Saccharomyces cerevisiae S288C: one gene and its partners. The gene in region 3 interacts genetically with the main gene of each other region. Each region holds a gene or a part of one and is shown on either strand. Other genes may lie near its edges.

Region 1 (4,772 bases), on a different chromosome or scaffold from region 3:
GAGTAGGGTAGAGTTTTCATCCTCGTTTGGATGGATTAGTTCTTTTAAGTTCATTTTATTTCGGATGTTGATTAAATCAGTACCAATTTTAATACGTTCAGGATTTTCAATACACTCCTCGCTCATAGCAGTGATATTCAGCTTTTTATTGTTCTTTGTGACCAATTGTGATCTACAAATTTCTAGCTTTTATCAAAACCACAGTACTTAAGAAGCTAAATCTTTTATAAACGCCTTATCATTCACGCTTTATTTGTAATTCCCATCAGCCATTTTTTTTCAAGTTTTCGCATATTTTGCATTTTTCGCTGTTTTGAAATATGCACTATGAGGAAATAAAGGCAACTATTAGAAGGAATTTAGGATTGTGCTGCATTTGCTTAATGCAAGGTTGCAGAATTTATTGATATATAAAGTAGTAGTATATTTCCCCGCACTACCATGCTATATTTATTATACATACGTGTTCCTGTAACGATGCACGCAATTTCATATCAGTGTTATTTGTTCTTTGAAAAGCCTGAGTGCAAATGCTCCCATTTTCTCACGACTATGCTCGGATCAGCGTTGAACCATACGTTTTTCAAGACACCCTCTTGTGACAACTGATAGACCAAATCTTTGTATCGTCTTTCTGATACATTTTCACTATGCAACTCAAATATTTGTTTGTTTTCATTCTTGACATTGGCGTCACTTTTAGCGATTTCAAAAACGAAGGGATTGATCTCCGCTTTAATTTGTTGAGTTGTGGCGCTCAGCAGATCAATCTCGGCATTTTCGTTCAGAGTTTCATCATTATAAATTCCTTTGAATTGGTTCAAAATATCAGAAATTTTCTTCGAATTTCTCGTCCTTCTTGCCGACTGAAGATGGTCATACTTCGGTATTCTTGACGCCAAAAAATTTAATGTAGATTCTGTCATTTTTTTGAACCTGTTAACAAGGTATTCGTTATCAAGCCTATGGTTTGCTTCTCTAACATAGGAATACCGAGCTTCCAATTGTTCTTGGATGTGTTGGTAAATATTCAATTCAAACGGTAATAACGGTTGTCTATTGGGGTCATTTAAATGCAATTTATAATCTATCACGTAATCAAATTTTAGTTTCATTTCATCATCCAGATTTTGATCCTGGAAAGTATTAACTTTTTCTGGGGTCATTGTGGTAGAATCTATTTCTTGTCTAACCATGGAACGATTGAGCGTTGCTTGACCAATAACATCATTTATGGAGAGTAGATCAGTTAATTGCGATATATCTTTAACGCTTGAACCAAGAGTTGATGTTAGGACCGGTAGTCTGTTCTTGGATGAAATCAAATCAGCCTCAGTATCAACGCACCAAAACTGCAAGTGCATCAAGCACTTCCTAATATCCGCATTATTTTGTTTTACAACATCGCGAAGCCAGTCGTCACAAACTTCGATTTCAAGGGACTTTAAATATTTTGTTAGAAACGCATAGACTGTGGATGTACTAATTTTCTTAGTATGAAACAAAGAGTTTTGTTCACTTGCCAAGGCAATAAGTTCACTAGGAACTAGTGACAAATCCTTACAAGTCAATACGAGGGGCCTTCGTGAAAATTCACAAAGCTTGCTGATCATTGCCCAATATCCCCTATCATGTTCTTTAAATAAAACATCAACATCATTAAATAAAACAAGCCCGTAGTCACTTTTCCTTTTTGAGGAATCTTTGACATAGTGTGTGGTGGTAAAATCTAGTAGGATATCAAGCAAATCTTTTTTGCTCCTGTTCATGTTTGAATTAACTTCATATATCTGGTAAGAATTATCGTCGCCAGCAATCTCTCTCATGATTGTCTGTATCAGCGTTTTCTTGCCTATTGAATTTCCGTGTAATATCATTAGTGGAACAAATTCGCTCAAGCTGCTATTTGCTTCGCCATTTCTGTAGAAATCTGGACGCAAGTTTTCGTCTTCTTCGAGATCAGGTACAATGAAGTTGGCAAGCTCATCACCAGATCCCTGTTGTTTATTGGGATTTATTCTGTTCAATAGACGGTTCCTCAAGGTAGGCTTTTCTAGCGTATGAAAGGATGTTTCAATCCAATTTTTGATTCGAAGTTTCAATTTGGGTTCAATTAATACTTGTTTTAAAGTGACAGGCTTGAATAGCTGCGGCCATGTGAGAGTTGTATTTCTTTTAATATTTGTGCCAAGTAATACCGGTGCTTGATAGCGAACAGGAATACAAGATGCTGAATTCTTGTCTTTCAACGATTCATAGTCACTAGGAAGAAAATTATGATTTAATGGCGGTATTGTGCGGAAAGGAAGCGGGATATCAACACTCCGATCTGACAGCTCTTTGTCACCTACTGGGAAAATCGATTGATGTAATGGTAATGGTGGCTCTATTTCATTTAGTTTAGAGATGCTATTTAATCTTTTGAACGTGTCGGTTGTCTCATGTTTAAGGAAGTTTTTAATCTTTGATGCTCTTTCATTAAGAAGCGATGATTTGATTCTCGATGTGGAAATTATAGAAATATCATCTTCATGCTCCTGCGAAAGTGCAATTTTGCTACAATTAGTCTCACTTTTGGGACTCTTATCACTGATTACAATAAGATCATCATCGTCGTCATCGCATTTTTCTTTTGTGCGTTTCGTCATCAAAAACTCCTTTGCAGATTTGTGATTAGTAGAAACAGCTTCAATTGGCTTCACAACAGAGTGGTTTAAAAATATTACTGAAGAATCGTCATGTTTGGCTGTTCTGGCGTCAAAAGTGCCTGATTCAGTATCATTTTCGTCATCGATGGTAATCTGTAGAGCATCTTGTCTTCTCACTTTTCTCTTATTTCCTGTCAATATATCAGATAAAGACACGTGCCTTTTCATTGGAAAACCTTCTCTGATTCAAAAAGTTTAATGCTATGGTACCATACGATTTAGTGCAGCGAAGGTGGTCAGTGAAGACGTTAAATACATGAAGCAAATAGCCGGATAATAATACTAAACTAATTTATCACCGCTAACGTTACGCGTTTGGCGTCCTAAAAAAAAGAAGGAAAAAAAAACCTATTTATTCACTCTATTTCGCCATAAAACGACATATAAATATTATACAGATGATGAAAGCCCACAAATTATGTTTAGTAGCGTTCTTTTAATCTAGATGCAACGGTACGTAAGTTCCCATAAACTTTACCTGGAGGGGAACCCAAAATTAAACTAACCACAGATTCTCTTGCCATTCTGATGTGGGTGAACCCGCCCAAAATGTGGATTTTAGAGTCAGCTAAGACAATTCTTGTTCTTGTAGCGTTTTCAATCGCAAATTTCGTTTTACCGTCTTTACCGGCAATACGACCGATGGCTCTCGACAAATGGTCACCTGTTAGAGTCTTGACATCTTTGACTTCAAAAGTCTCAATATATAAATCATCTAGCCTCAATAGTGCGATAGAATCGTCAAGATCAAACCCTAAGGTAAAGGCTTTGATAAAATCGGCCCCTTTTTGCAACGCACCAGGGTCTGTGGTAAATTTAGGATTCGTTCTTAGTTCTACGGATTTGGTCTTTAAATTCATTCTGACTTGCAGCTTCAAGTGCTCGACCAAAGGAGGATAAATTTTTGTCCAACTGTTCCTCAAGGGTGTCATTCTGTGTGGTGGAACCATGATCTTTCTCGATTCAAATTTTATTTTGTTACCCTGTGTTTTGCTAGCTGAAGTGAAGCGAGGTTTCCCCTGGTCATCAACCACTACGGTCTTAGATTCGTGCGTTTTCCGGCTACCTTCTTCGCCCTCTACCTCTTCTTTTGCTGTGTTATTGTCGGAATCATCTAACAGAACGTCGTCATCATCGTCCTCATCGATGCTTTCGGTATTATTTATTCCTATAATTCTACTACTGCCCCCATCTTGTCCACTTACAGGTGTCACAGTAGCCTTTTTCAAAGCAGTAGGCGCAACCATAATGTAGTTTATTTTCACTTCAAGTCTTTTTCTTAACTAAACAGAAGAATATTGAAAACTGCCTATTATTGATGCAATATGTATCTTTCATTGTGATGAGCATCGGTATGATAATAAGGAAAGAAGAAAAATTTTTTCCCGCTCGCACTTTCCGTAAGAGGTGATAAAAAACAGACCTAATACTGTAGTAATCTTAACTGCATTTAGCCCTACATTTATTATTTATGACCTTACTCTTCATATGTAGGTTAAAAAATTCGTATAAAGACACATTTGACTTTTTGTCACTTTTTTTTACTTCTCGTTATTGGTTCTAGCTGATCCTTGACTTACTATGGAGGGATGCATATTAAAGTTGACAGTAGATTTGCGTCAAGAAGTATTAAAACAAAAGGCACATACAGATTATCAGGTGGTGGGAGGTTTATAAAATTCATGCTAATCACACGTTTACGGGTCCCTACAATAAAGCGGCCACTGCTTCCAATTACAAGTCATCTCGTAAGACACTGTATTCGAACTTACGTCGCAACTAATCATGGAAATGTCAGACCTTTTATAACACCTTACAAGAGTTCGTTACCTGTTAGATGTTTGATCGCCCAAAGGCACATCCGAACATTTCCAAGCAATGACAAGTTCACTACCAAGGCTTCCAATATTGAGACTATTTTGCTGAGAAAAAATAATGAGCGAGAGTTCAAGCAATCGCTTCTAGCAGATGCAAAGAATTTTCAAGAAAGGTTCAAAATCAATCTAAAGTGGATTCTTATTAAAAACAACAGGCCGTTCTCTCTGAATGAAATAAGTATTATAG
Region 2 (3,655 bases), on a different chromosome or scaffold from region 3:
CATTGCATCCGGTCGAGATGAAGGCAGCTTTGAAGCTGAAGTTTTGCAGAACACCGCTATTCTCCATCTATGATCAGTCCACGTCTCCATATCTCTTGCACTGTTTCGAACTGTTGAACTTGACCTCCAGATCGTTTGCTGCTGTGATCAGAGAGCTGCATCCAGAATTGAGAAACTGTGTTACTCTCTTTTATTTGATTTTAAGGGCTTTGGATACCATCGAAGACGATATGTCCATCGAACACGATTTGAAAATTGACTTGTTGCGTCACTTCCACGAGAAATTGTTGTTAACTAAATGGAGTTTCGACGGAAATGCCCCCGATGTGAAGGACAGAGCCGTTTTGACAGATTTCGAATCGATTCTTATTGAATTCCACAAATTGAAACCAGAATATCAAGAAGTCATCAAGGAGATCACCGAGAAAATGGGTAATGGTATGGCCGACTACATCTTAGATGAAAATTACAACTTGAATGGGTTGCAAACCGTCCACGACTACGACGTGTACTGTCACTACGTAGCTGGTTTGGTCGGTGATGGTTTGACCCGTTTGATTGTCATTGCCAAGTTTGCCAACGAATCTTTGTATTCTAATGAGCAATTGTATGAAAGCATGGGTCTTTTCCTACAAAAAACCAACATCATCAGAGATTACAATGAAGATTTGGTCGATGGTAGATCCTTCTGGCCCAAGGAAATCTGGTCACAATACGCTCCTCAGTTGAAGGACTTCATGAAACCTGAAAACGAACAACTGGGGTTGGACTGTATAAACCACCTCGTCTTAAACGCATTGAGTCATGTTATCGATGTGTTGACTTATTTGGCCGGTATCCACGAGCAATCCACTTTCCAATTTTGTGCCATTCCCCAAGTTATGGCCATTGCAACCTTGGCTTTGGTATTCAACAACCGTGAAGTGCTACATGGCAATGTAAAGATTCGTAAGGGTACTACCTGCTATTTAATTTTGAAATCAAGGACTTTGCGTGGCTGTGTCGAGATTTTTGACTATTACTTACGTGATATCAAATCTAAATTGGCTGTGCAAGATCCAAATTTCTTAAAATTGAACATTCAAATCTCCAAGATCGAACAGTTTATGGAAGAAATGTACCAGGATAAATTACCTCCTAACGTGAAGCCAAATGAAACTCCAATTTTCTTGAAAGTTAAAGAAAGATCCAGATACGATGATGAATTGGTTCCAACCCAACAAGAAGAAGAGTACAAGTTCAATATGGTTTTATCTATCATCTTGTCCGTTCTTCTTGGGTTTTATTATATATACACTTTACACAGAGCGTGAAGTCTGCGCCAAATAACATAAACAAACAACTCCGAACAATAACTAAGTACTTACATAATAGGTAGAGGCCTATCCTTAAAGATAACCTTATATTTCATTACATCAACTAATTCGACCTTATTATCTTTCGAATTGAAATGCATTATACCCATCGGTACGTCTAGCTTTGTCACCTTCCCCAGTAAACGCTGTTTCTTGCCGACAAACAATGTGGCCCTCTCTCCGTCAATCTGTAACGACCCAAATCGTATTAAAGTTTCGCCGTCCTGTTCACTGAACCTTCCCTCATTTGGAGAATCTCTCCTCGCCAGCGACGCAAAGTCCTTAGGCAACTCTAGTTCACCTTGAATCTCCAGCATCATCATCCCAAGCGGTGTTATCACCGTGGTCTGCTTTTCTCTTGACTGTGTCAACTTCTGCCATTGACTAGCATCTATATCTACACTAGGCATTCTTTTCAGCTGTTTATTGGGCTGAATGATAGTGATAATTCTTTTTTCTATCACTCCTTTGGCTATATTAGTGGTTAGCTTACTAAAAAAGATTAAAGGAAAAATGAAATTCAAGATGCTAACGTTGACATGTATATTTTAAGAAAACAAAAATCATACAAAGAGGAGATCGGATATAAAAGAATAACATAAATATGTTTAGTGCATTAGGTAAATGGGTCCGAGGCTCTCGCAATGATAAGGACTTTGTGACGAAGTATACCGCAGATTTATCACAAATAACTTCACAGATCCATCAATTAGATGTCGCGTTAAAGAAAAGCCAATCCATCTTGAGTCAATGGCAATCAAATCTGACCTTTTATGGTATTGCGTTAACGGTATTGGCCCTGAGCTACACATATTGGGAGTACCATGGTTATCGACCATACCTTGTGGTGACTGCGCTACTATGCATAGGCTCGCTAATCTTGTTCAAATGGGCATTAACCAAACTCTATGCATTTTATAACAACAATAGGTTACGCAAGTTGGCAAAACTCCGTGCAATTCATCAAAAGAAACTGGAAAAGTTAAAGGAAGAGACCCACTATAATGCTACAAGCTCAATCATCCAACGGTTTTCTTCCGGTGAAGATCAAAACGACGATGCCATGGTACTTCTAGATGATGAATTAAATGCTAAATACCAAGAATTAAACAATCTAAAGACAGAGCTAGAAAAATTTAAGAAGGAAAGCCATGTAAAGGGCCTAAAGAAGGAAGACAGCGATGCATGGTTCGACAAAATCATCAGCGTACTGGCAGGCGGTAATGAATTGGACTCAACAAGTTCGCTCTCTCCCTTCAAAAAAATCATATGTCCACAGTGTCATTGGAAATCCAATTGCTACAGATTGGCCAGTAAGCCAATCATCTTTATCTGTCCTCACTGTAACCACAAAATAGACGAAGTAAAGGAAAGAGAAGACGCCATTGAAGCAAAACAACCGGCACAGCCTTCGCAGTCGGAGAAGGAAAAAACAAAATGATTTTGCGTTAGAATAACTACGTACCCCTATATAATATATTTTTATATCATTATTTAGACAAGGACATGATAGCGTTGACTAAGTCACCATTGTGAGCTTTCAGGGCTTTGATGGCTTGGTTTTTGGAAACGTTAGTTTGTTGAACGACTAACTCGATATCATCCTTATTCAAGTCACCGGCATCAACTTCACCTTCTTCGTCATCTTCTTCTGCTGCGGCGTTGACACTGCCTTCTGCGGCGGCTTGCATGTCAGCTTGGATGTCTTCTGGGGACTTGGTAGCGACGTCTTCGTTAGATGGCATAATACCGCTAGCTTGAGCTTGTTGTTGAGCAGCGGCTAGCTTTTGGGTAAAGTTGTCAACCTTAGCTTCACCGAAGACAACGTAGTTACCACCGGCAGATCTGAAGACTTCTGGCTTTTCAATAGCATAGATTTGGTTGTCCTTCTTCCTGAAAGTGACTCTGATGATACCTGGGATTTGCTTCAAACCCAATTTGCCAATCAATTCTCTGGCTTTCTTTTCGTTCTTGTTTAAGACGGTAACGTTGGCGTTTTCTGGGATAGCAGACATTATCAATTGAGTATGTGGGTGTGTGGTTGCTTGTAAGGGTTGCTCCCAGAAGGAGACTTTACCTTAGTTCTTGTTTAAAATAATCCTTTTCATTCAACTTTTTGTCATTTTTTTCTTCGGCGATGAAAAATTTTCAAAAAAAAAAACAGACCTAACAAAAGGGCAAAAGACCTATTATACTATATGACCGAAAAAACTTACGCCCTATTAAATAAAGAAGAAACCTAAAGAAGATAAACTAAAAACCCTTCTAATATTAGGTCACAATAATTGAAATTTCACTGC
Region 3 (8,257 bases):
CGATAAGGATGTTCTCCTAATATCTGAATAGCAAAGTGATAAATTACTGCTAGTCTGAAATAATTTCCTTTTCTTTGGAAAGAGAATTTTAAAAGTACTTACATATTTGCATAGTGAAAGATTTAAATAAAAATTTCTTAAAGTGAAACGGTTTAGCATAATTGGTGGCATGCGCTTAAGATAGTGCCAAATACCAAAAGGCACAGGTGCAGACGATACTTAAACAATAGTGCTACTACGCCACTTCGTGAAAGCTAATATCTCTTTACCTTGCATTTGGGCATGTTGCAAACAGGAGGATCAAAATACAAATGGAATCAAGAATGCTCTTCTGGTATGATACTTTTTGTTTTTCTTTTGAGCCCATGCGTACATTTGAGCTGTTGAAACAGTCAAAAATAAAACGGCAAATAAATTGAACTTGAACACAAAAGTAAACCAAATCCAAGACCAAACTTCAAAAGTATAGTTGGGAGCAACAAAAAGATTGAAAATACCTTGATTCAATGGGACACGGATCTTAGCGTTACCATGCTTCTTTTGATAGTCACCCCATAGGCGCAATTTAATGTGGCAATAAAAGTTCCATAGTTCTGAAAGCACGAAAAGACCAATTAATGTACTCAAGTCATCCAATTTCAAATATGAATAGTATTTGAATAACTTAGCATTCCCAAAGGGGAAGCCGTAGCCAAAGTAACCGAATGAAATGAGACCGCTTAGAACCCAGTAATGGAAACAATTTTTGAACAGGTTGAAAATTGGCATAGTAGCTAAAGAGAATTGGTGAACAAATAAGGTTTCAAATAATCTCTTTCCATAATGTCCTAAAATTAAAAAATATGCAACCCTGTTTAAAAATGGATTATAGTCGGAGCTAGCACTGTGCCATCTATCAACAACTGTGGGAATGGTAGATAGATAATAAAAAAGGGAGTGAACCAAGACTGGACCCAAATACTCACAAAAGAAGACTAATCTCCATGAAATTTGGGGACCCAAATCTTTGATGAAGAATTCCATTGAGTCATCAGCCTCTTCTTGAAAAAACGATTCTGAAATAACCGGAACTTGTTTAGATTCCTTTTTGTAGGTTAATCTTATCCTGTACTTGCTGATATTGTGGTTATTAGCAGAGATTTTTTTCAAAACATCATCTAAAGTAGGCTTTTTGGATAAGTCAATTTCAGTGTCCCTTAACCCTTTAGAGCGGCTTTTTATGGTGATAGGCATTTTCAAATTAAATTCAAAATATGTATCTCTCTCAAATAGCTCAATTGGTTTCTAGATAGCTAAATAGAATATAATCTTACTGTCCTCCGTTCTGTAAAATTCACGCTCTTAGTCCCTTTTCATAATTCCTTAACTTTTTGCGTACAAAATGATATGTTTATTATATTTTTCTTTTTTTTTTTTCAAATTTTTTCTTTTTCTTGAAAAATTTTTCAAATTGGAAAGCTCATCTCTCTTGAATGTATAATACTTTCTTCCTCTAACTTTCAAAAAGTTTTACATAGCCAAGAAGTTTTCCTTACATCGGTATACTACTGTTATATAAGTTATTCTTCGAGAAACAATTAGATATCATTCATCGGATAAATCTAAGTTGCCCATTGCTTTCAATAACTCCGATCAAATTAACTCAAATCAACTAAAACAGTAATGTCATTCAGACCAGGTAGCAGAGGTGGTTCCCGTGGAGGTTCCAGAGGTGGCTTCGGTGGTAGAGGCGGTTCCCGTGGTGGTGCTCGCGGTGGTTCCAGAGGTGGCTTCGGTGGTAGAGGCGGTTCTCGTGGTGGTGCCCGTGGTGGTTCCAGAGGCGGCTTCGGTGGTAGAGGCGGTTCTCGTGGTGGTGCCCGTGGTGGCTCCAGAGGTGGTAGAGGTGGCGCTGCTGGTGGTGCCCGTGGTGGTGCCAAGGTCGTTATTGAACCACATAGACATGCCGGTGTTTACATTGCTAGAGGTAAAGAAGATTTGCTAGTTACCAAGAACATGGCCCCAGGTGAATCAGTTTATGGTGAAAAGAGAATCTCCGTTGAAGAACCATCTAAGGAAGATGGTGTCCCACCAACCAAGGTCGAATACCGTGTATGGAACCCATTCAGATCTAAGTTGGCTGCCGGTATTATGGGTGGTCTAGATGAATTATTTATTGCCCCAGGCAAGAAAGTTTTATATTTAGGTGCTGCTTCCGGTACTTCTGTTTCTCACGTTTCAGATGTTGTTGGTCCAGAAGGTGTTGTCTACGCCGTAGAATTTTCTCACAGACCAGGCAGAGAATTGATTTCTATGGCAAAGAAGAGACCTAATATCATCCCAATCATTGAAGATGCTAGACACCCACAAAAATACAGAATGTTGATTGGTATGGTTGACTGTGTCTTCGCAGATGTTGCCCAGCCTGATCAAGCTCGTATTATTGCATTGAACTCTCATATGTTCTTGAAGGACCAAGGTGGTGTTGTTATCTCCATTAAGGCTAACTGTATTGATTCTACTGTAGACGCGGAAACCGTTTTTGCTAGAGAAGTTCAAAAGTTACGTGAGGAACGTATTAAGCCATTAGAACAATTGACTTTAGAGCCATATGAAAGAGACCATTGTATCGTCGTTGGTAGATACATGAGAAGCGGTTTGAAGAAATAAGTTGAATAAAGGAAATTAGTCAAAAGTTTCTGGTAGCTTGCTCAATTATTAGCAGAATAATTGTTTCGTTTATATATATTTCCCCCATTCAGTTTCACTTCCTATTTGAAGTTTTTGTAACCCTCGACTTTGTAAAATAGATATTACTAAATTCTTTTAGAGAACAAAAGTATTGTACGTATTCGCCATATAAAAAAAAAAGAGTATATGTGGTGACTTTTTGGTCATTAATTGTTAAGAGCAAGCAAGTAGAAATCATAATCATATTTCGAGTTTTTTAAAGGTAGGAACAATATCGATAAGCTGTTCTCCAGTCTCGACACTGTTTGATGACCATATATCATTAATTCTTGTAACACTACATCATAGATTTCTCTTTATCCTTGGATTGAATCTGAAAAAATTTTGATAGAGTCTTTTGTTCAAAGTGTCACTTCTTCATCTGTCACTCTTACGTATTTTTTTTTTTTTGGCTTTGCCCATAAGAAACATCACTGTATACGCAAGGTCGCAATATTTACTATTTAACATGGATGAGAGGCAGTGTGCGACCAAAACGAAGACTTAATCATTAAGAAGAGCGTGTGTTGCGTTGATTGGTAATAACCAAGTCGAAATTTGCACTAGGAGCTTCAGTCTAGGAGTGAACTTTTGAAAAGATTTCAGTCCAAAAATTATTATTTGGAACGCGGAGCTCCTCTAATAGTCGAAATAATAGAATGCATAGCGATACTAACGGTCGAACAAAGAGCAATAATAGCCCATCAGACAATAATCCAAATGAGACAGTTATATTAATAGATAGTGATAAGGAAGAAGACGCTTCTATTCGCGAGGCTAACCTTCCTGTGAGGTTGTACCCAGACAGACGGGTAGGGAGACGACGTGATGCTTTAAATAGGTTTGTGAGGTCAGATTCAAGGAGCAGGAATTCTCAACGGACTCACATAACAGCAAGCTCTGAGCGCCCTGATTTTCAAGCTAATAACGACGATATCACTATAATACGAGAAGTTGGACGGTTTTTTGGAGACGATGGACCTATTGATCCTTCTGCACATTACGTCGATCTTGATCAGGAGCCAGGTTCTGAAACGTTAGAAACTCCAAGAACAATACAAGTAGATAACACAAACGGGTACTTGAATGATAATGGTAATAACAATGAAAGTGATGATGGCCTGACAATAGTTGAAGAGAGAACAACACGACCCAGAGTGACACTGAACCTGCCAGGCGGGGAGAGGCTTGAGGTAACTGCGACGACAACAGACATACCGATAAGAAGGTCATTTGAATTCCAAGAAGATCTAGGCGCATCACGCAGGCAGTTACTGAGAAGGAGTGCTACAAGAGCCCGTAATTTATTTGTGGACCGGTCTGATGAAAACGATGAAGATTGGACAGATGATACCCATAATTTACCAGAAGCTATTCAAAGGGCTCGTAGGGAGAGCCGTATGCGAATGAGCAGACGGATTGCAGAAAGACAACGTAGGGTACAACAGCAAAGGGTGTCCAGTGACGAAAATATAAGTACATCTATTAGGTTACAATCAATCAGGGAACGAATACAATCATATACGCCTGATATTCGTAGTGCTTTTCATCGTGCAGAGTCACTGCATGAATTCAGGTCTATTTTACAAAATGTTGCTCCAATTACTTTGCAAGAATGTGAAGAAGAACTAATGGCACTCTTCACTGAGTTCAGAAATCAACTGCTGCAGAATTGGGCCATTGATAGGGTCAGAAATACTCAGGAAGAGGCCTTGAGACTTCACCGAGAAGCATTGGAAAGACAAGAAAGAACGGCAGGAAGAGTTTTCCATCGTGGCACATTACGTGAATCAATCACAAACTATCTTAATTTCAATGGAGAGGATGGGTTCTTAAGTCGTTTGTGGAGTGGCCCAGCATTGAGCGATGCTGACGAGGAACGACACACTCAAAATATCATTGATATGATCCAAGAGAGAGAAGAACGAGAGCGGGATGTGGTCATGAAGAATCTAATGAACAAAACCAGAGCCCAACAGGAAGAATTCGAAGCTAGGGCAGCCAGCCTACCCGAAGGTTATAGCGCGTCATTTGATACTACGCCAAAAATGAAATTAGACATTACGAAAAATGGTAAAGAAGAAACCATCATTGTGACAGATGACGATTTAGCAAAAACACTCGAGGATATTCCTGTTTGTTGCTTGTGTGGCGCAGAATTGGGGGTCGGAATACCGGATGATTTTACTGGAATCAGTCAAAAGGATCGTGGTGTTTCATTTGAAGGGTTAGTGTCAAAATACAAATTCCACTGCCCCTACCAAACCCTAGCCAGACCATCAATGCTTGATAGAGATTTATCAAAACGAACGTTTATTGCATCGTGTGGTCATGCATTTTGTGGTAGGTGTTTCGCCAGGATTGACAATGCAAAAAAAAAATCTAAGATGCCCAAAAAGAAACTAGCTCAACTAAAGGGTTCGGCTCATCCGGATAATTATGGCCCCAAATTATGTCCCGCAGATTCTTGTAAGAAGCTTATTCGTTCAAGAGGCAGGTTGAAGGAGGTTTACTTCTAGCACGCGGTTTAATTTTTATAAGGGCATTTTCGAACTTATCATCATTATATATTATCTACTTGCATGAACACTTTAATCACGCTTATTTAATTAAGATTAAAAGATCAGAGGTGCAATTGTGCTTTGTTTTATATAGTGGATTTGTGTGAAAGGGTTTGCTCCCACAAGATATGGAGATACTCTAAAACAGCATATCCAAAGTACAGCATAAACATAAACCCGCTAGACAGCCCGCTAGACAGTCTTCATTTCCAGAACTGGCCGGTTGTTGTTGGACATAAATGGGCTGCTGTGGGTGTTGTTGGTAATATTGGGGCTGCTGTTGCTGATAGTATTGAGGTTGTTGCTGATACTGCTGCTGCTGCTGTTGAGGTGGATAATAGTTCTGTTGGCTTTGCGATGGAGCGTAACCTCTAGACGCCGTTTCATATCCTGGTGGTGGAGCGCTAGGACGAGAATACTGAATCGAAAGTGATGTAATGAAAATACAAGGGCTCGTTAGTACGATGTGATCTTCTAAAGGCAAAACTTGTAAAATTAACGTACGCTTTGTTTGGAGGCAGAGTTTCCGTAATAATCTTGAGCTGACATGAGATGTGTATTTGCTTGGTTTATGGGCTATTGTATGGGTTTGTCTTAATATCCTTTTCGGTTGCGTAAATACTTTTTATATTTCAATATTTCACGATGCCGCTGATAGCATCGTTTAATACGAAAACTTCGAGCCATTTACCAAGAAATATTCTGGACTAGGTGGAAGGAAGCTTCGAGAACTCACCGTGGCTATTCAAGGCTGATGGACATATGTACTGGGCTGAGCTTAAGATCTCCCATTACTGCTCCGTGGGGTTTTATGTGAAATGTGGCGTTTCAGCAGTTTTTAGTTGGCTAATTTCCTAAAAGTAGTAATTAGTTTCTTATGATGGATTTAATGGCGTAGTTCATCCGCGTTTAATTTAACTAGAGGATAATCTACTTGCAGCATGAATGAAAATAGTAAGCCAGTAAGGATGCACTGACAGACTCAGCTACCGATTAGTGTTGTTGACTTTTCCGCAAGATCCTTTTCTCCCTCTTTGGACCTAGTCATCCCTCCACACAAGATTCGCTCTTAAGTAGTGGCGCAGGCTGTTCGCTTTTAAGCATAGTGCTTAATGTCGAAGGCTTTATAGATCCCAAATACTACGCCTTGAGAAATTGAATGCACTAGCAGTTAGTTAACTTTCTGGAACGCGCATGACGCGTCCCGGGGCGCCTGAGGCGGAGCGTTCGCGAAATCGGGAAAACATTATACTGGGAAAGATCACTATCTATTCTCTAAATGAACTTTTAAGCAAATTATCGTAAGATAGAAAAGACGAAACCTTAGCAACCTAGCGGTTTAATATAGAAACAATTTTATTATGATACCTTCCAATAAGAGAAATGCTAGAATTTTAAGCATTACAACGCTATTATTGTTGTTAGTGTTTTTCGTAGCGCAAAATGCGAACTTCTTGACGGTAGAGATAAAAGAGGAAACTTCTAAAGCATTTAGTACTAATATGGACAATATGGCTGGAGGATCTTCCAGGGAATATGCTGCTATGCCGACTTCTACCACGAATAAGGGGAGCTCTGAAGTAGACGAAGAAATTAATGAAATAAAACAGAAGGTGGGACTCCAACAGCCCATAGCATCGGTTGATGATAGTTTGTCGGCCATTAAAAACGATAAAGGGTCGCGAATAACCAAAGCTTTTAATGTTCAAAAAGAATACTCCCTCATACTAGACTTGTCTCCGATTATAATATTTAGTAAAAGCACCTGTTCATATAGCAAGGGCATGAAGGAACTGCTTGAAAATGAGTATCAGTTTATCCCAAACTACTATATTATAGAACTTGACAAACATGGACATGGGGAAGAGCTGCAAGAATATATCAAGTTGGTGACCGGTAGAGGAACTGTTCCAAACCTTTTGGTTAATGGAGTATCAAGAGGAGGTAATGAAGAAATCAAGAAACTGCACACTCAAGGGAAACTTTTAGAATCATTACAAGTCTGGAGTGATGGTAAATTCTCGGTTGAGCAACGTGAAAAACCTTCCAATAATTGAAATTGTTACAAAAAGGAAAGAAGAAAAAATTAAGAATAAATATATAAATAAAGAGGTCGTGAATGATTAGGTCGTGAAATGCAGTGTAGTTGGAAAGGCGTAGTTTTCCTAGCACAAGGCGTTTCGGAGTTGGAATAAAGAAGCTATCACCAACGAAGAAGCTTTTTTGTCCAAGACATCTCTTAAAAGGGTTGTGAAAACATAAAACGCTTAATGCCTTCATATATACATATATAAGTTTATGGTTTCGATGTTTACAATAACTTCTATCCTTTGCTGGTCCATGCACTTCACCTTGGTAAGTTATGCAACGCACTTTTGTCTACGCCTGCATTCGATATAAAGGGTAAGCTGCCGAGATAACTTTTGTATCTTCCGTGTCTGCAGATAAAAAAATAATGCATTCTTCAAAAACTTTGTACAATATCGGGAGAGTTTAACAAGCAAAGTGGCAATACAGATTATAAAAATATGAAAGTTAAAATAAACGAAGTGCACAGTGTGTTTGCTTGGTCATGGCACATCCCTAGCACATCTGATGAGGACGCAGCCAATAACGATCCAATTGGCAATGATGAAGACGAGGATGTCTGTGGTATCTGTCGTGCCAGTTATAACGGTACCTGTCCAAGCTGTAAATTTCCAGGCGATCAATGCCCTTTAGTGATTGGGCTATGTCATCATAACTTCCATGATCATTGTATATACCGTTGGCTTGATACACCAACCTCAAAAGGACTGTGTCCGATGTGTAGGCAAACTTTCCAGCTACAGAAGGGTCTAGCAATTAATGACGCTCATGTCCAAAAGTTCGTTGAAATAGTTTCAAGAAGAAGAGAAGAAATGATAGAGGAGGGCGTCGCAGAAGAGTTTGTGGACTTTGATGAACCAATAAGGCAAAACACCGATAACCCAATCGGTAGACAGCAAGTT
Region 4 (9,879 bases), on a different chromosome or scaffold from region 3:
TCTGAGATCACGCCCTTAAATTTAGCCGCCAAAACACCGGTCGAACGGCGAAAATGGATCGGAGTCTTGATTGCACCCACACCTCGCATTTTGTGCACTAACATAAAATATGACGAAGTGAGAGTCATGACACACAGAATAACTTAAAAATACTTGAGGAAAAAGTTCTCATATTATGAGGTCATAATAACTACATCGTTATTGTTGCGATATAACTTCAATGTTTTCTGCCTGCAAAAGAATCCTTCCTTTTCCTTCTTTAATTGAAGAGTCCATGTAACCTTGTTTCGTTACTTATATTTATTCACCTTTCTACTTTAGTCACATAACGTAATCTGGGCATAATCATTGAGGTATCATTATTAGCTTGAACTCGTGGTTCCTATTGTCGCCAGGTTTCTTTCAACGCATTTGCTCTTTCCGCTTCGCATACGGCGGTGATCAAATGCAAAACTTACCCTCATCAGTATAAGAGAAGAAAAACTGCATGGACTATTCGCGTATTGCCTGGTAAAGCTATATAGTACTATTGGTAATGTTTGTACTGTTTTATGTACATGATGAATAAGAAGAGACAAATTTTACGTGATATATAAGTCTTCTATTTCTAGTATGGCAGGTATTTTATCAGTAGCATTAATATTACTATGAAGCCCTTTCAAGGAATAACATTTTGTCCGACTGCAATAAATAATGAAATCTTAGCTAAAAAAATATCAAAGAAAATTATTAAGTTAGGAGGTATATTTTCTAAAGATTTGACCAGACAAGTTAATGTCCTTGTTGTTGGGTCCACCACCAATACAAACAAATTTAAATTTGCGGTGAAGCATAGATTCGATATCATATTTATTGACATTCAAGCCATTGATGACATTTATCAGCTCTGGCTGTCTGGAGAAAATATATTGCCGGACTCTAATACGGCAACAATGACAGGATCCACCTATGAGATGCTGAAGATACTTTACCGGCGATTTTCGTTTAAATATTTGCATAACTTCAATATCTTCATTGGCAGAATAACCGACACTAACATAACTTCCATCGATTCATTGGTTAGGAGTATTAAAAAGTTAGGGTGTTCTAGTTATAACTATCAAAACTTTGTAATCAAAGATACCTCTTCACACAATGATGACGATGATCAAGGTCAGAATGGGCAGATATCCATTTTTGTTACGGATACTTTACTAGGAGCAAGAGTTAACGCTGCTATTGAACAAAATATACCTATTGTACATTTCAAATGGATTCTCGATTGCCAAAAAAGAAGCGCACTGTTACCGTACGATCCCTATTATCTTTTACCAAATATTAAAGACCTGCCCTATGATTCAATCGGATCAAACTCTTGCGATTGCTGGGATAAAATAAACACCACCTTTCCAACCAATATCGATGCCCAATCCTCTCTGCAGCGGCAGCAATCCTCCAGTACCCTGACTCCTTCGCTCCCGAAAACATCATCCCTCTTGAATAAATTTAAACCAAAGGGTGAAAAAATATGGGACAAGGCAATGTCTCTACAGCAGCATAGTAAGACAAATTTTTCAGTACTAGGGCAGTCACCATTATCGATAAATAACAAACAAGAAGATTTAAGTGATAATAGTACTTTGATTTTCAAAAATTGTGCGTTTATCATTCATCATATTTTTCCTGGCAATCACCGTTCAATACTAACCAAAATTGTTGTTCAAAATGGGGGTAAAATTGAGACGTCTTACTTGAGCGGCATTTACGATCATTCTTATTACATCATTCCAAGTAATAAAGCTCTTGACTCCTTCAATGATTTACCTGAGATTATAGATGATAATGATGGTATAGTTACAGAATTTTTCATTGAACGCTGCTTGTATTATCAAAAATTACTACACCCAATAGATTTATGGTCAAAACCCTTCCTCAGCACAATAGAGTTTCAAGTTTCGTCTTCTTCAAAGTTATTGCATCATGAATTTTCTTCTTCCCCTTTTCTGAATGTTACTATCACTGGATTCTCTGGCGTAGAGCTGTTACATCTGACTAAAGTATTAAATCTTCTAAAACCAATGGGCATCAATTATGTAGAATACCTCAATAAATCCACTGACATTCTGCTAATCAACTTAGCAGCTTTACCCAGTATCCCGAAAACCCATCCGTTATGGTCGAATGAATTTAGCGATCTTTTTACTCAGTTTTGCATTAATAACAATAATGATGATCCTGGTGATAATAACAGAAAAGATTTTCAAAATAATTCAATCTTGAGAAATTCGATGAAAAGGAAAATTGAATATATCAAGAAATTCCACTCCATACCGGTAGTTACTCCAGCATTTATTTTTAAATTATTGTCCGCTGCATCTGGAGAAAATAATGAAATCTTTTTAAACAATATCAAGTGGTGTATTATCTGCCCAAGAGGACACAAGGACGATTTTAAATGTAAGATAAAAAAACCATACTATACCAGCATTAGTTCAGAAAAAAAGTACCAAAACAATGATCCAAAAATCGACAAAACTATTCTTTTGAAAAGAAACAATTCCTCATTATCGGAGCACTCTATGAAAGATACCAAAAACGAATTATTGCAGAAAATTAGAGAAACTGATTCTGGAAGAAAAAAGCGTAGTGTCTCATCGAGTATCATGGATGTTTCTTCAGAGAGACAAATGCCGGATACGAAAAGGATCAAGTTGGAGTCACTGCCAAAAAATTTCGTTCCTAAACAAATTAAACGAACCACGAGTTGGGGCACAATAATGTCAGAAAATGTGCCTACAGAGCAGCCGACTGCAATTTCTAATCCAGAAGAGATCCCAAGAACTGAGGAAGTTTCACATACTCAAGTTACCTATGGCTCCATTCAAGATAAGAAACGTACTGCCTCTTTAGAAAAACCTATGAGACGACAGACAAGAAATCAGACAAAGGAATTAGATTCTTGAAATGTAGTCCGTAATTTTATAAGATATTCATTTACATACGCCATCTACAGCATTATTCAAATCTACTCATCTATATGTATTACCGTTTTGTATGATAATACTTTCCATGACATGCTCGCGTGAAAAAACAGCATGAGAAAAAGAGGATCGCAATAAGAAGACACGTAAATATCTAAATAAATGGCAACAGTACATCAGAAGAATATGTCGACTTTAAAACAGAGAAAAGAGGACTTTGTGACAGGGCTCAATGGCGGTTCTATAACAGAAATTAACGCAGTGACATCAATTGCTTTGGTAACTTACATATCATGGAACTTATTGAAAAATTCCAACCTTATGCCTCCTGGCATTTCCAGCGTGCAATACATAATTGATTTTGCATTGAACTGGGTTGCTTTGCTTCTATCTATTACTATTTATGCTAGTGAACCATACCTTCTAAACACGCTAATACTGTTACCTTGTTTGCTCGCATTCATATATGGAAAATTTACTAGCTCGAGTAAACCTTCTAATCCAATATACAATAAAAAAAAAATGATTACACAGCGGTTCCAACTAGAAAAAAAGCCGTATATTACTGCGTATCGTGGTGGGATGCTTATTCTGACTGCTATTGCCATCTTGGCTGTAGATTTTCCAATTTTCCCAAGGAGGTTTGCCAAGGTGGAAACTTGGGGGACATCCCTGATGGATCTTGGTGTAGGATCATTCGTTTTCAGTAACGGTATTGTTTCTTCTAGGGCACTGTTGAAAAACCTAAGCTTGAAGAGTAAACCCAGCTTCTTAAAAAATGCATTTAATGCCTTAAAATCAGGAGGAACTCTATTGTTCCTAGGATTGCTGAGGTTGTTTTTTGTAAAAAATTTGGAATATCAAGAACATGTCACAGAATATGGGGTTCATTGGAATTTTTTTATCACCCTATCATTGTTGCCACTTGTATTGACCTTTATTGATCCCGTCACAAGAATGGTTCCACGCTGCTCAATTGCAATATTCATTTCATGCATTTATGAATGGCTACTTTTAAAGGACGATCGCACTTTAAACTTTTTAATTTTGGCTGATAGAAATTGTTTCTTCAGTGCTAATAGAGAAGGCATCTTCTCATTTCTAGGTTATTGCTCGATTTTTCTTTGGGGCCAAAACACGGGATTTTACTTGTTGGGAAATAAACCAACTTTAAACAATCTTTATAAGCCTTCTACGCAAGACGTAGTTGCAGCATCAAAGAAGTCTTCGACTTGGGACTATTGGACTTCAGTAACCCCATTAAGTGGCCTCTGTATATGGAGTACAATTTTTCTTGTTATCAGCCAGTTGGTTTTTCAATACCATCCTTATAGTGTTTCAAGAAGGTTTGCTAACTTACCATATACTTTGTGGGTCATTACTTATAATTTACTATTTTTGACTGGGTACTGCTTGACTGACAAAATTTTCGGTAATTCTTCGGAATATTATAAAGTTGCCGAATGCTTGGAATCAATCAACTCCAATGGGTTGTTTTTATTTTTGTTGGCAAATGTCTCTACTGGTTTAGTCAATATGTCTATGGTCACGATAGATTCTTCACCCTTAAAATCATTCCTGGTTTTGTTGGCATACTGCTCATTCATAGCTGTCATATCGGTTTTCTTGTATAGAAAAAGAATATTCATTAAGCTATAATAACACACCATCCACATTTCCATGTAGTTCGTATACAAACCCTACCAGTAAAATAAAATTAACTCCTATGTGCTTTAAATAAAAATTATAAACCGCCTCCAATAGTTGACGTAGTCAGGCATGAAAGTGCTACTAATCGATGACTATGATTTCACCGTTGTTTAATTTTGACTTTTTTTTCGCACGTGACAGCTGAGAAAATATATCCATTTGACTTGATGCAGGTTCATTCTTCACCTTTTTGGAAAATTTCTGTGTCTTTTTCATTGCTGCGTCAGCCAAAAACTTAGCATTGGAGATTATTGGACGATTGTCAACTGTAGTGTCATCCGGATTATGTAATAACTCAGCAGCTGTTGTATTTCTGCTGTCATCTTCCTCAAATTCACTCTTCAAATCTATCACTTCCTCCACCTTAACCTTGTCACCTCTCTTAGACTTTCTATTTCGAGTTTTTGGTTTTATTTTTTTCGTCTTTTTCGAGCCCAAAAGCTCTCTCCTCCTTTCTATTGATATGTCATTTAATAACTCCTCATCGGATAGATCTAATTCGTTGTTTATATCTTCTATTAAGTTCGTTGGCTGATCAGAATTACTGCACGCGCTAGAAAACCCAGAAAATTCACTCGACGTAAGCGACTGCCCTGATTTATTGGAGTATTCCGGAGGATGCAGTTCATCAACATTTGACTGGGTTTCTATTCTGAAAGTTCCTGCAGTTGCGAAATGAATATTACGAGTAACTTTGTCCTTCCTCGTAGGTGATGGTCTCATTAAATCATCTGACATGTGGCTCGTCTTATTTGGAGATGCTCCTTTTAACGACCTCGTTGATGATCGTGGTGATATGTCTGTGATGGACCTATCTTCTCTTCTCAGAAAAGGAATATTTTTCCCAGTAGAAGAATGAAACTCCTGCCTACTAGGTACATTAGTTGTTGAAACGTATTGAGGTGCATACACCTTTTTCTTTGTAGGAGAATGGAATGATGTAGTTTCTGGAGCGTACCTTTTTTCTGGACTTTTAACTCTACTTTTAGGAGCGTAATTGCCATTGATTTTGGATGGGCGTGATTTTTCAATAAGTTTCTTCTGTGGGAATATAGAGTTTTGCGTTTCGAGTCGTAACTGGTCCGCAGCTGACGTGAAATCACTAACAGAACCCAATAATTTATTTCTAGACAACTGTATTCCATAGACATCATTCATTTGTATCCCTTGCCAAATCATCCTTTCTCTCCTATTTTCAATGAATTGGTTATAGTCTTTGCGCAATTGGTCAAGGGAGAATAGTTTATCATCTTCAGCAGGCGGCTTTTTGTTCAAAATTCGGTATAGTTTTTTGATACTATTCGTACTTTCAAATAATTTTTGGCTATCGGACATGGCTTTTATCAAGTCAGTAGTCAAAAATCGGCTTGCAATTCTTGGTCTATCGACATCTTCCACAGTTACAGTATTTGATAGGTACAACAGGTATTTTGCACGAGTCTGTGCAACAAAAAACATTCTTCTTTCCTCATCTATAGAATCTTCCACGGATAAAACTCTAGTCTTTTTTGGGCTTGCATCTTTCTTACTATTTTCTTGATCTTCTTCTTCGTCCTCCTCTGATTCGTCTTTCTTATCATCGTTGAACACACAAGGAATTATACCTTCTTCGCATCCAGGAATAAAAACTACCGGCCACTCAAGACCTTTGGCACCGTGAATTGTAGATATCGTGACAAACCCATTCTTCTCACGTTTTATTTTTGCATCTTTATTGGATTCCGACTCTTCCTCCTCAGCTGCATCAGAATGAAGGGAAAGTGAATTGAAGAAATTACGGAGGTATTCTTTTGGAGTGATGACCTTGTTCTCTATTGGTTCGGCTTCATCTGTTGCTGCTTTAATGGCTTCATTTTTTTCTTTATCTGAAGATTCTGACTTGGAAAGAAGAGCCAGGAAATAGTTTTTCAAAAGTTCAATATTCTTATGTCTTGCGTTTAATAAATTAGGTTCGGATTTTTCAAGCTGATCATTTTTTTTCTTACCATCCTTGTACAAGTATTCGTATTTCAGACCTGATAATTCATATAGCTTATCAAATAAATCTGAAAGACCCCCTAGTAAAGTGCTCTGGAGCAACAATTGACAATTTTCTATCATTGAAATGAAGTCAGCAATCACAGAACGGCCTTTCGTCGGTATGTCTAGCATTATTTTTTTACTACTTATGTCTTTCAATATTTGGAAACATGACACATCGGTAGCTAACGTGTCCAATGCGTTCTTAATCTTCTCACCGGTAGCAGGACCAAGGCCCCTTGCTGGATATAAAAGTGAAGCAAGAATTGCATGTTTGTCATTCGGAGAAAATATCAATTTTAATAAATTTAACATCGCTCTTGTTTCCTTGGAATCCCAGAAACTGTGGCCCCTAATAATTTTATAGGGTATCCGATGTTCTATTAATGCACTTTCGATCCTTTTAATTTGTCTTCGTTGTCTTACTAGGATAGCAAAGTCATTAAATGTGAATAGGTTTGGCAATGCCTTCAAATATAGTAGTTCCCGAACTAAAGAAGGTGCTTCCAAAAAGTAAGCGGGGAAATTCATGTAAACTGGTGGAAAATCCAGGTCAAATTGGGCACGGAGTGGAGCCCTATTCTGCCGACCTTTGTTTTGTTGCGTTATTAAAATTTCGCTTGTATTTAGAATTTTTTGTGATGAACGATAATTTTCAACAAGTATGATAGTTGAGTACTCGATGGGACATTTTCTGCCCATTTCTAGAAAGTTGTGCGCTAAGGCGTTTCTGAAAGCATATATGCTTTGATCAGGATCACCTACGATGGTCATCCCCCTCGAAAGATGATGATTTCCCTTAGCAAAAAGAAACATCAAGTCCAATTGAATGCCGTTAGTATCTTGAAATTCGTCAACTAAAACATGCTTTATGTTGGATAAAACACGCACTCTAGTCAGCAAACGAAAGGTGTACATTAATAAGTCATCAAAATCTAACGTATTTTTCTTGCTTAGCTCTGATTGGTATATTTGGTAAAAGTAACCAAGCGCGGCGTCATGATTCGAATCTAAGATGTATTCCTCAGGTAATATTGCGTTTGATTTTAGCTTTGATATCTGTTTCTTGATCAGCTTCGGATGAATAGTCCATTCATCTCCATTTTTACTCGGCATACAAAGATTTACTTTCCTTGTGATTGAGGAAGCATAATCCCTTATTTGGTCGGGAACTTTTTCGATCATATCATCTAAAATGACATCTATTTCCTTCTCATCAATAATTCTCCAGTCTTTCTGTAGATCCACCAAGTGGCCAAATCTATAAAGTATTTTCAGGCAAATACTATGAAAAGTACCAATTAAGAGCTCCGAAATATTCACGCCTGCCCCGCGTAACATTTCTTGCAAACGCTCTTTCATTTCGTTAGCAGCTTTGTTAGTGAAAGTAGTCACTATAATATCGCGGGGATGAATATGGTGGTGCAGAATAAGATACGCTACTCTTGAAGTTAAAACCTTAGTCTTCCCTGTGCCGGGACCGGCAATGACCTGCAGCCCTCTAGTGTAATCAAAGAGGGCCGCTGCTCTCTGTTGAGTATTTAACTGGGATACTAAATGCAACCAAAGATCATTGTTCGACGACATTTGCTATCCCTAAGTACCGGTAGAAGAAAGATCAAATTGGAATGATACTCAAAGTGCAGAGTACAATTATGGATGGCAAAAGAAACTAGAGGGACAGGAAGCTGTCTAAAAGCTGTAGAGAAATATTCTTATCTTGCCGACTGCAAATTTATCGAGACTCTGCGAAGGTAGCCTAAGCAGTAGTATCAGGATAGCTGGAGGTAACTCTAAACTCGCTCCTATTCTTCTTCAGCATCGTTCTAATTGTTGTCACTTTTGTTTGTTTTGGTTTTTTTGGGAGTTTTTCGCATTCGCGTCTCGTTACCCTAGCATGTTTTAAGCGGCGCTATCATTATGGTTGAAGAGAAAGTTGTAGTTTATCAACAGTTAGATACTTGATATACAATACGAAGCAGTGGTTGTGTATACAAGTGAAGTACTCAATGTAATATACATTACCTGAGTACTCAGTACCATCTTGGTTATTCAATATGGCAAAAATGCCTGACCCTATGTATCTTTTTCCATCAAAAATAGCCGCATCTCGTAGATCGTGAGCAGATGTCTTCACTCCTTTCTAGCAGTATAACAAAGCATATTTCTTGTATTTATTTTACCGATTTCTATATATATGACAAGGTTCATGAACAGCTTTGCCAAACAAACGCTGGGATATGGCAATATGGCGACAGTGGAGCAAGAGAGCTCAGCTCAGGCTGTTGATTCTCATTCAAACAACACACCGAAGCAAGCTAAGGGTGTTCTTGCAGAGGAACTAAAGGATGCATTGCGGTTCCGGGACGAAAGAGTTAGTATTATTAATGCAGAGCCTTCTTCAACACTGTTCGTCTTTTGGTTTGTGGTTTCATGCTATTTCCCTGTGATTACTGCCTGCTTGGGTCCCGTAGCTAACACTATCTCGATAGCCTGTGTAGTTGAAAAATGGAGATCCTTAAAGAACAACTCCGTGGTGACAAATCCACGAAGCAATGACACCGATGTTTTGATGAATCAAGTAAAGACAGTTTTTGATCCTCCTGGTATTTTTGCCGTTAATATCATCTCTTTGGTACTGGGTTTTACGTCAAATATTATACTAATGCTACATTTCAGTAAGAAGTTGACGTATCTTAAATCTCAGTTAATAAATATAACAGGATGGACAATAGCTGGAGGGATGCTTTTGGTGGACGTGATTGTATGCTCCTTGAATGACATGCCCAGCATCTACAGTAAGACTATCGGATTTTGGTTTGCCTGTATCAGTTCTGGTCTATATTTGGTATGCACCATTATTTTAACAATACATTTTATTGGATATAAATTAGGAAAATATCCTCCAACGTTCAACCTTTTGCCCAATGAAAGAAGTATCATGGCATACACTGTACTATTGTCTTTATGGTTGATTTGGGGTGCGGGTATGTTTAGCGGTTTATTGCACATCACTTACGGAAATGCATTATATTTCTGCACGGTATCATTATTAACCGTGGGACTAGGTGACATCCTGCCCAAGTCGGTTGGCGCCAAAATCATGGTTTTAATCTTTTCGCTATCTGGTGTTGTCTTGATGGGTTTAATAGTGTTTATGACAAGATCCATCATTCAAAAGTCCTCTGGC

What was found.
Region 1: mutations in SLX5 (region 3) and ELG1 together harm fitness more than expected from each alone (negative genetic interaction), as found in Saccharomyces cerevisiae (8 studies listed by BioGRID, with this or other methods).
Region 2: mutations in SLX5 (region 3) and CTF8 together harm fitness more than expected from each alone (negative genetic interaction), as found in Saccharomyces cerevisiae (5 studies listed by BioGRID, with this or other methods).
Region 4: mutations in SLX5 (region 3) and SRS2 impair growth when combined (synthetic growth defect), as found in Saccharomyces cerevisiae (6 studies listed by BioGRID, with this or other methods).

Annotation. Positions count from the first base shown.
Region 1 is NC_001147.6:602,217-606,988, forward strand, and holds ELG1 (Elg1p), read right to left. Parts: upstream 2,877-4,772; coding exon 501-2,876; downstream 1-500. Other genes in the region: THI80 (thiamine diphosphokinase), read right to left, coding at 1-126; PNO1 (Pno1p), read right to left, coding at 3,131-3,955; MDM32 (Mdm32p), read left to right, coding at 4,391-4,772.
Region 2 is NC_001140.6:484,867-488,521, forward strand, and holds CTF8 (Ctf8p), read right to left. Parts: upstream 1,766-3,655; coding exon 1,364-1,765; downstream 1-1,363. Other genes in the region: ERG9 (bifunctional farnesyl-diphosphate farnesyltransferase/squalene synthase), read left to right, coding at 1-1,313; LNP1 (Lnp1p), read left to right, coding at 1,960-2,796; EGD2 (Egd2p), read right to left, coding at 2,846-3,370. UniProt on the Saccharomyces cerevisiae protein: Essential for the fidelity of chromosome transmission. Required for the DNA replication block checkpoint.
Region 3 is NC_001136.10:425,702-433,958, forward strand, and holds SLX5 (SUMO-targeted ubiquitin ligase complex subunit SLX5), read left to right. Parts: upstream 1-3,365; coding exon 3,366-5,225; downstream 5,226-8,257. Other genes in the region: serine/threonine protein kinase CDC7, read left to right, coding at 1-31; trans-2-enoyl-CoA reductase (NADPH) TSC13, read right to left, coding at 301-1,233; rRNA methyltransferase NOP1, read left to right, coding at 1,663-2,646; YDL012C (uncharacterized protein), read right to left, coding at 5,407-5,685, 5,772-5,816; glutathione-disulfide reductase GRX6, read left to right, coding at 6,629-7,324; YDL009C (uncharacterized protein), read right to left, coding at 7,224-7,547; APC11 (anaphase promoting complex subunit 11), read left to right, coding at 7,796-8,257. UniProt on the Saccharomyces cerevisiae protein: Component of the SUMO-targeted ubiquitin ligase (STUbL) complex SLX5/SLX8 that mediates ubiquitination and subsequent desumoylation of sumoylated proteins and proteins containing SUMO-like domains for their degradation.
Region 4 is NC_001142.9:255,820-265,698, reverse strand, and holds SRS2 (DNA helicase SRS2), read right to left. Parts: upstream 8,277-9,879; coding exon 4,752-8,276; downstream 1-4,751. Other genes in the region: protein kinase activating protein DPB11, read left to right, coding at 648-2,942; GWT1 (glucosaminyl-phosphotidylinositol O-acyltransferase), read left to right, coding at 3,147-4,619; TOK1 (Tok1p), read left to right, coding at 8,887-9,879. UniProt on the Saccharomyces cerevisiae protein: ATP-dependent DNA helicase involved in DNA repair at least for UV-induced lesions. The polarity of the helicase activity was determined to be 3' to 5'.